2 linked regions of the Anolis sagrei genome follow. The protein of the gene in region 2 purifies or fractionates together with the protein of the main gene of each other region. This does not show direct contact. Links are inferred from orthologs where the notes say so. Each region holds a gene or a part of one and is shown on either strand. Other genes may lie near its edges.

The links. Proteins that work in one complex are often made in the same cells at the same time.
Region 1: the proteins of HDAC2 (region 2) and MIER3 purify together in Homo sapiens (affinity purification with mass spectrometry; 3 studies listed by BioGRID and IntAct, with this or other methods). This does not show direct contact. The link is inferred for Anolis sagrei from reciprocal best matches to the Homo sapiens genes HDAC2 and MIER3.

The regions. Positions count from the first base shown.
Region 1 is NC_090022.1:271,878,461-271,886,281, reverse strand, and holds the start of MIER3 (mesoderm induction early response protein 3), read right to left. Parts: upstream 3,037-7,821; 5' UTR 2,968-3,036; coding exon 2,959-2,967; intron 2,326-2,958; coding exon 2,301-2,325; exon of another isoform or gene 2,248-2,300; intron 1-2,247.
Region 2 is NC_090021.1:91,450,200-91,457,747, forward strand, and holds the start of HDAC2 (histone deacetylase 2), read left to right. Parts: upstream 1-4,470; 5' UTR 4,471-4,585; coding exon 4,586-4,637; intron 4,638-7,548. UniProt on the Homo sapiens protein: Histone deacetylase that catalyzes the deacetylation of lysine residues on the N-terminal part of the core histones (H2A, H2B, H3 and H4).

The DNA.
Region 1 (7,821 bases), on a different chromosome or scaffold from region 2:
GCAGATATTGTGAGATTTCCTGCCTTGATATTCTGGGTTATATGACTGTTTGGAAGGGCCCTTGCTGACATACTCCCAAAATTCAATTCTGAAGTCCACTGCCAACAGTAGGACTATGGCCACAAAGTTCTTCCACACCTATAGTGGGGCATCATGTTCCTCTGCCCACAAAGTTCCTCTTTAACCGTGGGCATACACACCTGCACTATTCAAAGTCCTTACAGCTAGATCTGCAACTAGAATAACTAGAATAAATTTAAAATTTCCAATGTAGAATGTTACCTATTTTGAAAAATGTGGTTGCCAAGGGCTGCCTTAGCCTGTTTAATATGTACATATATAGTCATAGAAGAAGTACATTCCATATAAAAACTGTGCCTTTAAGAATTTTTGCTGAACAAACAGTGTAGCCCTATACATTTTATTGAGAATTACTTCTCATCAAACTCAAAGTCTTATCATTCAAATAATTTAGTTAACACTTCATAAATAATGTCATTTTTACCAAGGGCAACAAAGTATACGTTTTGGAAAGTTTTAAATTATCTGATTTGTATGGTTTTACCTATCATTTCAATAAAAGATAAACTAAACCCAGGATCAGATGTCCATCTTTCAGGAATGCTTTAGTTGTACATTCCTGTATGGAAGTGAGTTGGACAAGGGTGCTTTCACACAGCCATATAACCGAGAATATCAAGGCAGAAAATCTGACAATATTTGCTTTTAACTGGGGGCCCTTCTCCTCCTCCTATATCCCAGAATATCAAGGCAGAAAATCCCACATTATCTGAATGTGGACTCAGATAACCCAGTTCAAACCAGAGATTGTGGGATTTTCTGCCATGATATTCTGGAATATAAACTTTTAACTTTATTGGCATAAAAAAATCCACTTCTGTTTCTTTTTGCTTAGGTAAAGCAGATTCTATGAAAACACCAACAACCAAAAGAAACAGAAGTTCTGGAATCAAACTTGCATTTTTGAGCCCTTCCACACAGCTGTATAACCCAGAATATCAAGGCAGAAAATCCCACAATATCTGCTTTGAACTGGGTTATCTGAGTCCACACTGCCATATATTCCAGTTCAAAGCATATAATGTGGGATTTTATTCAGCTGTGTGGAAGGGACCCCAGACAATGCAGCAAGACCATCTCCAAATAAACACGCACAGCATCGGACTTGATGGCTGCAATACTACGTACATCCACAGTCCCATTCCAGCGATAGTTAGTTGGAAAGCAATCTGGCATGTAGTTCTGGCATGGGCCAACTTGGGCCCTCCAGGTGTTTTGGACTTCCACCATTCCTAACAGCCTCAGGCTCTTTCCGCTTAAGTGGCTTGGGGGGGAAAAGAAAGGGCCTGAGGCTGCTAGGAATGGTGAGAGTTGAAGTCCAAAACACCCGGAGGACCCAAGTTGGCCCATGCCTGAAATTTACTTCTATGTAGATATGACTTTGCCAGCAGCATTTATTCAGAAGTGAGCCAAATTTACTGTCTGATATGTGAATTCCATCTACATCAGGTATCGGCAAACTTCGGGCCTCCGAGTGTTTTGGACTTCAACTCCCACAATTCCTAACAACCTCAGTCCCTTCCCGCTTAAGCATCTGGGGGGAGGGGGGAGAAAGGGCCTGAGGCTGTTAGGAATGGTGAGAGTTGGAAGTCCAAAACACCTGGAGGGCAAACTGGGCCTCTGGGTGTTTTGGACTTCAACTCCCACAATTCCTAACAGCCTACCTGTTGTGAGGAATGGTGAGAGTTGAAGTCCAAAACACCCTGAGGGCCCAAGTTGGCCCATGCCTGAAATTTACTTCTATGTAAATACAAAATTGCCAGCAGCATTATTCAGAAGTGAGCCAAATTTACTGTTTGATATGTGACTTCCATCTACACCAGGCATCGACAAACTTCGGGCCTCTGGGTGTTTTGGACTTCAACTCCCACAATTCCTAACAGCCTACCTGTTGTGAGGAATTGTGGGAGTTGAAGTCCAAAACATCCGAGAGGCCCAAAGTTTGCCGATGCCTGACCTACAGTGAACAGAACATCTCTATAGGATACTTCCCTAGGAACAAAACAGGTGACTTGAAAAGAATGGAAAAAAACAGAGCACGAAACAGCGAGAGGATGAGGAGGTTATGAGGAAATCATTTCAAGATGTCATCGTGAACGAGAAGAAAACAACACACAGAAAGGCATCTTTTGACAGATGCGCCTGTAACCTGGCCCTTAACCGTACCCAAAAGCTTCCCACTGCCGGAATCACAGAAGAAGGAACTGAACAGGACAAACCTGGGCTGGAACTCCCAAAGGAAGCCTGCAACAAGCAACAGGAGAAGAAGGAGTCAAAGGGGGGCTCTGCCACACCAGGAGGGCTCCCAAGTTTCCAAGCCACAGACAAGACAAGACACCCTTCTTCCACCTTTCCTCTCCTCCCTTGGCTCTTTCCAACTTCCCTTTGTCTTTCTTTCTTGAGATGTGAGACTATTCTCTCTCTTCTCTCTCTCTCTCTGTGTCCCCATCCCTCTCTCTCTCGCACCTTCAGAGCCTCCATCCTTTTCCCAAACCGGTCCTTCCTTCCTCGTCTCTTTCTACCTCCTCTCTCTCAGTCTCTCATCCTCAGAAATATGTCTCGCCCCCCAAACAGGACCCCGGCCGTGCCCACCGCCGCTGACGCCCAGAGCCGGGCTCCTGACTGACCATCGCTCTGGGTGGGGACTGGGCGGGCGGGCAGGCAGGCACCAACTGCGGCCTAGTCGCCCAGGCGGCGCTCCGCCGGCGCCCGAGGCTCCCTCCGCCCCCAGCCGGCCCTGGAAGCCCCCTCGGCGGGCCCGCGGCCTCCGGAGGGCTCTCCCAGCTCCGAGGAGGGGGCCTCCGGGCGCCGTCCCGCCTTCCAGTCCGGCCAGGCGCCCTCCGGACCCCCGCGCCCCCGCCCGCTCTCCCCGCTCACCTCCGCCATATTGGGAGCGCTCGGCCTGAGCGGCAGCGATGCGCCAAGTGCCCGGATGGGGCCGCTAAGCCAATGGCAGCGCCGAGGCCCAGGAGAGCTCGGGACGGGCGGGGAAGGCAGGCAGGGAGGGGCCCAGAGAGAGAGGGAGAGAGAGAAGACTCTGGGCGGGGAGCCGCCTTGGAAGGGAGGGAGGCACTCAGCCTTCCTTCCCCCACCCCGTATATAGACAGAACACCCATTCGCAATGCTATCAGGCAAACTTGGGCCCTCCAGGTGTTTTGGACTTCAACTCCCACAATTCCTAACTGTTAGGGATTGTGGGAGTTGGAGTCCAAAACACCTGAAAAGGCCCAAGTTTGCCCACCGTACCTGTTAACTGGCACAGAGAGAGGCAAGAGAAAGGGGAGAAAGGAGAGAGAGGGGAGAAGGAGAAAAGAGAGGGGGAGAGAGAGGAGGAGAGGGGAAGAGACACAGAAGATAAAAGAGGAGAGAAGAGAGGGAGAGAAAGGAGAAGAGAAAGGAGAGGGAAAGAGAAGAGAGGGAGACCAGAGGGAATAGAAAAGGGGAGAGAAGAGAGGGAGAGAGAAGAAAGGGAGACCAGAATTTATTTATTTATTTATTTATTTCATCTACTTATACCCCGCCCTTCTCACCCGGGGGGGGGGGGGCTCAGGGTGGCTTACAGGAAAGGCACAATTAGATGCCCAAATCACACAACAAACAATACAAAATATAACAATTCAACAATTAAAATAAAACATCAATACCTAATAAAATCATAAAAACTATCTCATGTCAGAGTCCATATATCAGAGTCCATATATCCATTCCATTCCATTGTCCTCGTCTATCGACAGGTCCTTTAGTTAGTTGTCAGCATGGCCAAAAGCTTGGTCCCACATCCAGGTCTTTAGTTTTTTCCTAAACGCTAGAAGGGAAGTCGTCGATCTGATCTCCCCGGGGAGTGAGTCCCACAGGTGAGGGGCCACCACTGAGAAGGCCCTGCTCCTCGTCCCCGCCAGCCTCACTTGTGCCACTGGCGGGGTCGAGAGCAGGGCCTCTCCAGAAGATCTTAAACTTCGAGGTGGGATGTAGAGGGAGATCCGTTCGGGTTCCAGGCTCAGCGATGAGTCCAGGATCACTCCCAAGCTGCGAACCTGCGTTTTTAGGGGGAGTGTAACCCCGTCTAACACAGGCTGTAACCCTATACCCTGTTCGGCCTTCCGACTGACCAGTAGGACCTCTGTCTTGTCTGGATTCAAGGAAGAGAAAAGGGGAAAGAAGAGAGGGAAAGAGAAGAGAGGGAGACCGGAGGGAAGACAAAAGAGGAGAGAAGAGAGGGAGAGAAAGGAGAGACAAGACAGGAGGGAGGAGAGGAGATAAAAAGGAGAAAAAGAGGAGAGGGAGACAAGAGAGGGAGGGAAAGGAGAGGGAGAAAGAGGAGAGACAAGAGGAGAGGGAGAGAAAAGAGTGGAGAAGGAGAGGAGGAGAGGAGAAGAAAGAGAGCAAGGGGGGGGGGAGAGAGAGAGTGGAGAGAAAAAAGAGAGGAGAGGAGGGAAAAAAGGGAGAGAAGGGAATTGTGTTTTTGAAGTCCCAAACACCTGGACTGGCCCAAGTTTGCCCACCGTACCTGTTAACTGGCATAGAGAGGGGCAAGAGAAAGGGGAGAAAGAAGAGAGAGGGGAGAGGAAGAAAAGAGAGGAGGGGGAGAGAGAGGAGATAAAAAAGAGGAGAGGGAGAGAAATGAGAAGAGAAAGGAGAGGGAGAGAGAAGAGAGGGAGACCAGAGGGAAGAGAAAAGGGGAGAGAAGAGAGGGAGAAAGGAGAGACAAGAGAGGAGGGAGGAGAGGAGATAAAAAGGAGAGGGAGAGAAAGGAGAAGAGGAGAGGGAGAGAAAAATGGGTTAGGGATTGTGGGAGTTGAAGTCCAAAACACCTGGATGGGCCGAAGTTTGCCCACCGTACCTGTCAACTGGCATAGAGAGAGGCAAGAGAAAGGGGAGAAAGAAGAGAGGGGGGGAGGAAGAAAAGAGAGGAGGGGGGAGAGAGAGGAGATAAAAAAGAGGAGAGGGAGAGAAATTAGAAGAGAAAGGAGAGGGAGAGAGAAGAGAGGGAGACCAGAGGGAAGAGAAAAGGGGAGAGAAGAGAGGGAGAGAGAAGAGAGGGAGACCAGAGGGAAGAGAAAAGGGGAAAGAAGAGAGGGAGAGAAAGGAGAGGGAAAGAGAAGAGAGGGAGACCAGAAGGAAGAGAAAAGGGGAAAGAAGAGAGGGAGAGAGAAGAGAGGGAGACCGGAGGGAAGACAAAAGAGGAGAGAAGAGAGGGAGAGAAAGGAGAGACAAGACAGGAGGGAGGAGAGATAAAAAGGAGAGGAAGAGAAAGGAGAAGAGAAAGAGGAGAGGGAGACAAGAGAGGGAGAGAAAGGAGAGGGAGAAAGAGGAGAGACAAGAGGAAAGAAGAGGGAGAGAAAAGAGTGGAGGAGGAGAGAGGACAAAAGAGAGGAGAGAAGGTGAGGAGAGGAAAGAGAGCAAGGGAGGAGAGAGTGGAGAGAAAAAAGAAAGGAGAGGGGGGAAAGAGGGAAAGAAGGGAATTGTGTTTTTGAAGTCCCAAACACCTGGAGGGCCCAAGTTTGCCACTATGCCTGTTAACTAGTATAGGGGGAGAGAAGAGAGGGGAGGTGGAAAAAAAGAGAAGAAAGAGGAAGGAGAAAAAGTGAAGGGAGAGGAGAGGGGAAGAGATGAGAGGGAGAGGGGAAAGAGAAAAGGAGACAGAAAAGAGGAGAGAGAAAAGGAGGAGAGATGAGAGAGAAAGGAGAGAGAGAGAAGAGACAGAGGAGAGAAGAAGTGGGGAGAGAAAACTCTAGGTTGAGGAGTAGCCTTTGGAGGGATATATACAAACTGTACTCTTCAATCCCCCACCCCAATATATACACACACGCCCCCAATATATATACAGAACATCCATTAACAGCAAGTGCTAGCAATGCTATCAGGCATGGCCAAGCTTAGGCCCTCCAGCTGTTTTAGACTCCAACTCCCACAATTCCTAACAGCTGACAACAGCCCAAGTTTACCCACCATGCCTGTTAACCAGGTACATGTACAGTACATGTCCTGAAGGTAACATTTTAAATGAGAGAAGGAGACAGGAGAAAGAAGAGACAGCTAGAGAGGGGAGGGATAAAGAAGAGAGACAAGAAAGAGAAAGGAGAGGAGAGAGAAGACTCTGGGACAAGGAGCAGCCTTCGAATGGATATATACAAAGTCCAAAATACTTGGAAGGCCCAAGTTTGCCCACCATGCCTGTTAACTAGCTACATGTACAGTACGTGCCTTGGAGGTAATATTTTAAATGAGAGGGGGAGAGAAAAGAGAAAGAAGAGGGAGAAGAGACTGATGAGAGAGAAGAGACGAGAAGAGAGAGGAGAAAGAGAGAGGAGAGAAGAGTGGGATGAGAAGCAGCCTTCAAATGGATACACACAAACTTCAATTGCCCCCCCCCCCCCCATGTATACAGGCCTCCCAATATGTGTTTGTGTGTGTGTGTAGGCCCGTAGCCAGGATTTCATTTCGGGGGGGGGGGGGGGGGCTGAGTCTGAGTGAAAGAGCGTCTAGCCTAGCAAACCTTTTGTATCATTACCCCAATACCCCCATGCATATGGGATATATTGAGTAGGGTGATCAGATCATGATATGACTTAACATAAGTTTAAATAATGCACCAGTAAGGCCTTTTCGCGAACCACCATGAAAATTTCGGGGGGGGGGGGGGTGCTGACCCCCCCCCCCCCGGCTACATGCCTGTCTGTCTGTCTGTCTGTGTGTGTGTATAGAACACACATTAACAGCAAATACTAGCAATGCTATCAGTATTTACCAAACTGGAAGCTGCTCTGATTCCCCTCCAGGGTGAGATAGAGTACGGTAGGAATACAATAATAAATATCAAGCATGGGCAAACTTTGGTCCTCTAGGTGTTCTGGACTTCAGCTCCCTCAATTCCTAACAGTCAGATCCCATGGTGCCCTAGCATGAAGACATGGCAATTAAAGTGGGAGCAAACTATACAGCAAAGTGGGTGTTTTGGAGTTCAACTCCCACAATTGAAGTCCAAAACACTGGAGAGTCAAAGTTTGTCCATGCTTGCAACAACAACTCTCTCTGTGTGTGTGTGTGTGTGTGTGTGTGTTGTTCATTCGTTCAGTCGCTTCCGACTTCGTGACCTCATGGTCCAGCCCACGCCAGAGATCCCTGTTGGCCATCACCACCCCAGCTCCTTCAAGGTCAATTCAGTCACTTCAGGGATCCCATCCATCCATCCATCTTGCCCTTGGTCAGCCCCTCTTCCTTTTACCTTCCATTTTCCCCAGCATAATTGTCTTATCTAAGCTTTCCTTTCTTCTCATGATGTGGCCAAAGTACTTCATCTTTGCCTCTAATATCCTTCCCTCCAACGAGCAGTTGGGCTTTATTTCCTGAAGTATGGACTGGTTGGATCTCCTCGCAGTCCAAGGCACTCTCAGAACTTTCCTCCAACACCACAGTTCAAAAGCATCTATCTTCCTTCGCTCAGCCTTCCCTATGGTCCAGCTCTCACATTAAGTGACTATGGGGAATTTTATTTATTTTATTTTATTTTTATTTATTTTATTTTACTATTCTTGTATACCGCTGTATCTCAAGCCTGAGGGCGACTCACAGCGGTTTCCAGACAGTAAACACAAAGACAATAAAAACAGCAGCAATCAATATACCATAGCAGTTAAACTACACAATTCCATAACTAGCAATAACAACATCAATACACAATTATCACAACCCCCCCCCCCCAATCGCCTCGTCATCCAAAACGTCATCCAAATTCATCGT
Region 2 (7,548 bases):
GGCCGGATACCCTCCCGAGTCAACCAAAGTCAACCAGTCACCCTCTCAGCCCATTTCTCACTCAAAAACATACCTGAGTGGTCTGCTGGCGGCACAGGTTCACCTACAGATGTCTCCTGATGCACGAAAATGACATGTCAGGAGATGGGGGGGGGAAGTCCCCCCATTTTTATGCCACTGGCTGATCTTTGGTTAACCCAGGAGGGATTTAGTTACTCCCCCAAGGGAAAGCTCAGGGTTTGGGTTGGAGGTGGGAACAAAATCCCAGGAGGAACTAGGTTAAAATAAGATGTCTCCCAGTTCCTCCTGGAATTGAAGGCACTGTAGAAGGGCCCTTAGACTCTATCTAAACTGCCATATGATGAAGTTAAACTGGCAATCCCCAAGTTACAAACATTCAACTTACAAACAACTCATAGTTACAAACTGGGGTGAGACAACCAGAAGTGAAAGAAATCTACTCCTGGAAAGGGAAAATAATTTCTGGAAGAGGTAACATGGCAAAAAGGTGTCTCCGTGGAAGTTCTCATCAACTCTTGTATCCACAAGCTAAATTTTTCAAAATCCAATTATCACAGGGACAGAAAATGAGGTGAAATCTTCTGAACAGGGGCACAGACAGCAAAACAGGGGCACAGACAGCAAAATCTGACCACCTGGAGTGCTTCTGGTGTTGCCGCAAGGAGATCCTCCATTGTGCATGTGGTAGGGCTCAGGTTGCATTGCAGCAGGTGGTCAGTGGTTTGCTCTTCTCCACACTCGCATGTTGTGGATTCCACTTTGTAGCCCCATTTCTGAAGGTTGGCTCTGCATCTCGTAGTGCTAGAGCGCAGTCTGTTCAGTGCCTTCCAAGTCGCCCAGTCCTCTGTGTGCCCAGGGGGGAGTCTCTCATTTGGTATCAGCCATTGGTTGAGGTTCTGGATTTGAGCCTGCCACTTTTGGACTCTCGCTTGCTGAAGTGTTCCAGCGAGTGTCTCTGTAGATCTTAGAAAACTATTTCTTGATTTGAGTCATTGATGTGCTGGCTGATACCCAAACAAGGGATGAGCTGGAGATGTCTCTGCCTTGGTCCTTTCACTATTGGCTGCTACTTCCCGGCAGATATCAGGTGGTGCAATACCTGCTAGGCAGTGTAATTTCTCCAGTGGTGTAGGGCGCAGACACCCTGTGATAATGCGCCATGTCTCATTAAGAGCCACATCCACTGTTTTAGTGTGGTGAGATGTGTTCCACACTGGGCATGCGTACTCAGCAGCAGAGTAGCATAACGCAAGGGCAGATGTCTTCACTGTGTCTGGTTGTGATCCCCAGGTTGTGCCAGTCAGCTTTCATATGATATTGTTTCTAGCACCCACTTTTTGCTTGATGTTCAGGCAGTGCATCTTGTAGGTCCAGAGTGATTCCAAGGTATTTGGGTGCGCTGCAATGCTCCAGTGGGATTCCTTCCCAGGTAATCCTCAGAGCTCGGGATGCTTGTCTGTTCTTAAGGTGAAAAGCACATGTCTGTGTTTTAGATGGATTAGGGATCAGCTGGTTTTCCCTGTAATAGGCAGTAAGAGCACCTAGAGCTTCGAAGAGCTTCTGTTCTACCATCTCAAAGCTCCCTGCTTGAGTGGTAATGGCACGATCATCAGCATAGATGAAACTCTCTGTCCCTTCTGGCAGTGGCTGATCATTTGTGTAAATGTTGAACATGGATGGAGCAAGCACGCTCCCCTGAGGCAGGCCGTTCTTCTGTTTCCGCCATCTGCCTCTCTGGCCCTGGAACTCAACAAAGAAACTCCTGTTTTGTAGCAGGTTTCCTATGAGGCGGGTGAGATGGTAGTCCTTTGTGATATTATAATTTTTCTCAGGAGGAGGCAGTGGTTCACAGTATCATAGGCTGCTGACAAGTCGATGAAGACAGCTCCTGTGATCTGCTGCCTTTCAAAGCCATCTTCTATGTGCTGAGTCAGGTTCAGCACTTGCGATATGCACCTTTTGCCTTTCCTGAAGCCAGATTGCTGTGGGATCAGACAGGGGTCTATGTTTTCCATAATTCTATGCAAAATAAGTCTCTCCAGAACTTTGTAAAGATGGCGTAACAGGGAGATTGGTCTATAGCTTTTTGGATCATTACGGTCTTTGCCTGGTTTCAAGATGGCAATGACTCTTGCTTTCCTCCAGATTTTGGGGATCTGACAGGATGCAGTGCAGTTGTTCATCAGCTCCAGCAGCCAGTGTCTTGCTTTTGAATCAAAGTTCTTGATTTGTTCCATCCGTACATCATCCAGGCCAGCTGCTTTGCCATTTTTACATTTATTGAGAGCCATGTCCAATTCTGTAGATGTAAAGGGTTCATGGAGGTTGTTGTTCTCAATCTCTTGTTGTCTGGCTATTGGTTTCTTTCCTACTTTGGTGGCAAGGTTGGGTTTCCCATTCTTCAAGAGTTGGTGTGCTATTTGATCTGCCTTTATGTTGGCATGGGTATTAGTTTGTGAGCGGTCGTTGCTCAGTCGACCCGTCAAAGCCGACCCCTTAAAAAGATAGTGTATTGTGTGCAGGGCCGTAGCCAGAAAACAAATTCGGGGAGGGTTGACAATTTTGGGGGGGGGGGTTGAAAATTTGGGGGGGGGTTGAAAATTTCGGGGGGGGGGGGGGTTGAAACCTGCCTCCTAGCTCACACTGAAACGAAGAGCACAGCAGGGGGCAGAGCAGCCTTCAATTGTTGTTCATTCGTTCAGTCGTCTCCGACTCTTCGTGACCTCATGGACCAGCCCACGCCAGAGCTCCCTGTCGGCCGTTACCACCCCCAGCTCCCTCAAGGTCAGTCCAGTCACTTCAAGGATGCCATCCATCCATCTTGCCCTTGGTCGGCCCCTCTTCCTTTTGTCTTCCACTTTCCCCAGCATAATTGTCTTCTCTAGACTTTCCTGTCTCCTCATGATGTGGCCAAAGTACTTCAACTTTGTCTCTAGTATCTTTCCCTCCAGTGAGCAGTCGGGCTTTATTTCCTGGAGGATGGACTGGTTGGATCTTCTCGCAGTCCAAGGCACTCTCAGAACTTTCCTCCAACACCACAGCTCAAAAGCATCGATCTTCCTTCGCTCAGCCTTCCCTAAGGTCCAGCTCTCACATCCGTAGGTTACTACAGGGAATACCATGGCTTTGACTAGGCGGATCTTTGTTGCCAGTGTGATGTCTCTACTCTTTACTATTTTATCGAGATTGGACATTGCTCTCCTCCCAAGAAGTAAGCGTCTTCTGATTTCCTGGCCACAGTCTGCATCTGCAGTAATCTTTGCACCTAGAAATACAAAGTCTGTCATGGCCTCCACGGTTTCTCCCTCTATTTTCCAGTTGTCAATCATTCTTGTTGCCATAATCTTGTTTTTTTTTTTTGACGTTTAGCTGCAACCCGGCTTTTGCGCTTTCTTCTTTCACCTTGATTAAAAGGCTCCTCAGCTCCTCCTCGCTAGCCCCTGTCAGCCACCTCCACCAAGTCTGGCCTCCTTAATGAGAGCATTCAACACCCCCCCCCCCCCAACTTGGTTGCTTCACTACATTGGCTATTGCTGCAAGTAATGACAGTGTGAATAAATTGTCAATATTTGCTTGAGATAGTGCTTACAGTTCTGGAGGGACTCTTAATTTTTTGCATCTCAGACTTAGCATGGGGATTTGGTTAACCAGTTAATATTCATGAGTAAACCAGGTTTTTTAAAAAAATCTGAAACATTTCGGGGGGGGGGGGTTGAACCCCTAAAACCACCCCCTCGCTACAGGCCTGATTGTGTGCCTTTATTTAATAGGATAAAGGCACACAATACACTATCTTTTTAACATCCATACCCGATGATGAACCCAGTGGCCTTCGAAAACGTGTGCAATGTGTTGGGGGCCTTTTATTTGGCCTAATAAAGGGACCACTTCAATATGTTATTTAGATTTTCCTGCATTTTCTTTCAAAATCATTATGTGAGAGCTTAAGAGGGAGAATGGGCTTGGAGGGGAACTATTTTGTAGGGATTTCGTCCAACAAAACTGCCCGCCTTTTGCAAAACCCTTCAAAAAGGAAGAAAGAGGAAAAGGCGCGCGAGGCCGGAGCCAACATTCTCTGGGGTCTCATCCGAAAAGCGTCTCTCACAGCCAGGGAAAAGAAGCCCTCTGCGCTTGCGCACTCCGCACATGCTGATTGAGCGAGGTCGAGCACAGCAAGAACGGACCGCTTCGTTACGCAGACCGTACCATTGTGTCGTCGAAATTGAGGGGGATGAAGAAAAGAAGTTGATAAATTTTCGCTCTTTCTTTCAAGTGTAAAGGGCTCTGCCTCAGGAACTCTCTGCAAGTTACCATGTTGCCTTCGTTTGGTACCGGAGCGCAATTCTATGCCTTCGAAAAGGCGGGGCCTGAGAGTGCGTTTCCCCGCTCCTCCCCCCCTGCGGGTGGTTCCTTCCTCGAGTGGCACGAGCCCGCGGCTGGAGGAGGCGGGGCCGGCTTTTTCTCACGCAGCTGCGTCGCCGCCTCAGCGCCAGGCATCTCTGCTGTGCCCTGCCGGCCTCGCTTGATCCGGAGGTAGCTGGGGATTCCCTCAAGAGGCGGCTTCATGGCATACAGTCAGGGAGGCGGCAAGAAGAAAGTCTGCTACTACTATGACGGTAAGAAAAGTGGGGTTTCTTTCGCGTTTGAGGGGTGTGTATGCCTTTAAGTCTGTGAGAGAGCGCCTGAGGGTGAAACCCCCCCCCCCTTTTGTGCTCCGGCGCGTCCGTTGGTTCTGTGTACTCCCCGTGCGCGCGCCCCATCCCCATCCCCTGCGCGCGCCCCCTCTTCCTCCTGTCCTCGCGCGCCTTCTTGCCCCCCCCCCTTTTTTTTCCTTCCCGGCGCACGCGCCGCCTACAGCCCCGCCCCCTCCCTCCCTCCTCGACGCCCCCTCCCCTTTTTCTGTGCCTCTCTCTCTCCCCCCCCCCCCCCTCAGACCTATTGTGTCTGTAGAGGCGTCTCTCCAGAGTCCAGACGGAAGTTGCTAACCCAGACTCTTTCATCTCATTTTTCCTCCCACCTCCACCCTCTTATCTCTTGCATCCTCTTTTCTGTTTGTGAATACTTGGCTGCTAAAAGATAGCACTGGGATGGATGCAAAGGTATCCACCTGGAATGGAGGCTATTGTCATCCCCCCCCCCCCCGGATTTTGCATTGCAGGTATCCCAGGAAGCATCGGCACTGTAGAATAAATGAAGTTTTGACACCATTGTATTTTATAATTCTACTAGCCGTCCCCTGCCATGCGTTGCTGTGGGCCAGCTTGGTGATCTGGAAAATAAAGTAATAAGGAAGTGATGGTTTCTAATATATGTATTTTCTTTATGCTTCTGGGTAAACAGTATTTCTTGTTTCTTTTTCAGTATTGATGTAGAGATTGTCTGGTTTGCCTACTCTGGAACATGTAACATAGAATTGTCCTTTAGGAGTCCCTTTAAAATCTATGAAACTATATCTGTCATATTCATATGTATGTGTGTGTGAATCATATATAACTATCTATATATGGCTCTTTGTCAGGAGGGCTTTGGTTATGTTTTTTTGCCCGGGTGAAGGGAGTTGGGCTGGATGGCCTTCACCCAGCATTTCTCAACCTGGGGGTTGGGACCCCTGTGGGGGTCATGAGGGGGCGTCAGAAGGGTCATCAGATAACATCAGGAAACACAGTATTTTCTGTTGGTCATGGGGGTTATGTGTGGAAAGTTTGGTCCAGTTCTATTGTTGGTCGGGTTCAGAATGCTCTTTGATTGTGGGTAAACTATAAATCTCAGCAACTACAACTCCCAAATGTCAAGGTCTGTTTTCTCCAAACTCCATCAGTGTTCACATGTGGGCATATTGAGTATTCATTCCAAGTTTGGTCTAAATCCTTGATTGTTTGAGTCCATAGTGCTCTCTGGGTGTAGGTAAACTATAACTCCAAAACTCAAAGTCAGTGCCCACCAAACCCTTCCAGTATTTTCTGTTATTCACGGGAGTTCTGTGTGCCAAATTTGGTTCAAGTCCATCATTGGTGAAGTTCAGAATGCTCTTTGATTGTAGGTGAACTATAAATCCCAGCAATTACAACTCCCAAATGACAAAATCATTTTTTAATATATATTTATTTTTCAACATTTTCAAGAGAGAGAAAAAGGCATCCAAGATTACAGTGAAAGTGGAGCAACAGTGTGCTCGCCTTAGAAAGAAAGGAAAGAGCAAGAAGAGAAAAAAAGGAGGAGAGGGGAGGTGATGGCTTCCTGTTCGATCCACAGGGACGTAAACAATTGTGTCCATTTACTTTTCCGCATTATAACTTAGTTACTTTTCTCTATATTAGTTGGTATATCCTTCATCCGTAGAGTTGGATTTGCATATCTTCCTGCATAAACCTTCTCAGAGGCTCCCAATTCGTCTGTTTATTCTTATTTTTATTGTCAATGTATTGTGATAAGTTGTCCATGCTCATATAGTCTAGGATTTTGTTTATCCAATCACCAATTGTAGAGGGTCTTTCTCTTTCCATTTTTGGGCAATTGTCGTTCTTGCCGCAGCTGATATATAAAAAAACATCTTTTCGTTTTCACCTAAATTCAAGTTTGTTATGTTCAAAAGATAAAATTCCGGTTTCAACTCAAATTTCACCCTAATAATTTTTTGGGTACATTTGTGTATTGCTGACCAGTAATTTTTGATTGTTTTGCACCCCCACCACAAATGGAAGTGGGTGCCTAGCTCTTTTTCGCATCTCCAGCATCTATTAATTTTTATTGAATTTTGATATTTGTAGAGGTGTCAGGTACCAGCGAAAATATATCTTGTACCATCCTTCAATTATATTTGTAGCTTTCGTGAACCTTAACTTCTTCCAGATGTTCTCCCAATCTTTTAACAATATTGGATGGCCAATGTCAATGGCCCATTTTGTCATATTTTCTTTTATTCTCTCTTTTTCCAAGTCCCATTCTAACAGGCTTTGGTAAAGAGTTTTAATTAATTTTTGATCCTTTTTCATTATCTTATCCCAACTTGATTTCTTGGTATTGAACCCTACTTTTCGATCTTCTTTGAAGCATTCTTTTGTTTGCCAATAGTGAAACCAGCTCATTTTTCTGTCATATGTAGGCATGCCATCCTCTTCTAAGGTCCCACCCCTCTAGGGTTAACATTTTTCTGTTTTGTAGGGTCACCCAGTCGTTGATCCAGGTCAGAGCACTCGCCTCAAAATAACGTTGCAAATTAGGGAGGGTGAGGGCAAAATCAATTTTTTGAGTGATGGTCACTCATTGGGTTGTTAGGTGTATTCTGTCCAAATTTAGTGTCTATCCGTCCAGTGGTTTCTGAGTTATGTTAATCCCACAAACGAACATTACATTTTTATTTATAAAGATTTAAATGTTTAATTTACCTACATTGTTTGAAGGCATCAAATAGTTGCCTAAGTGTAAGCTGCCTTGAGTCCCCCTCCAGGGTGGAGAATGGCAGGGTAGAAATGTTGTAAATAAATAAATAAAAATAAATTTCAGCTGCCCTGGCTCAATGCTGTGAAA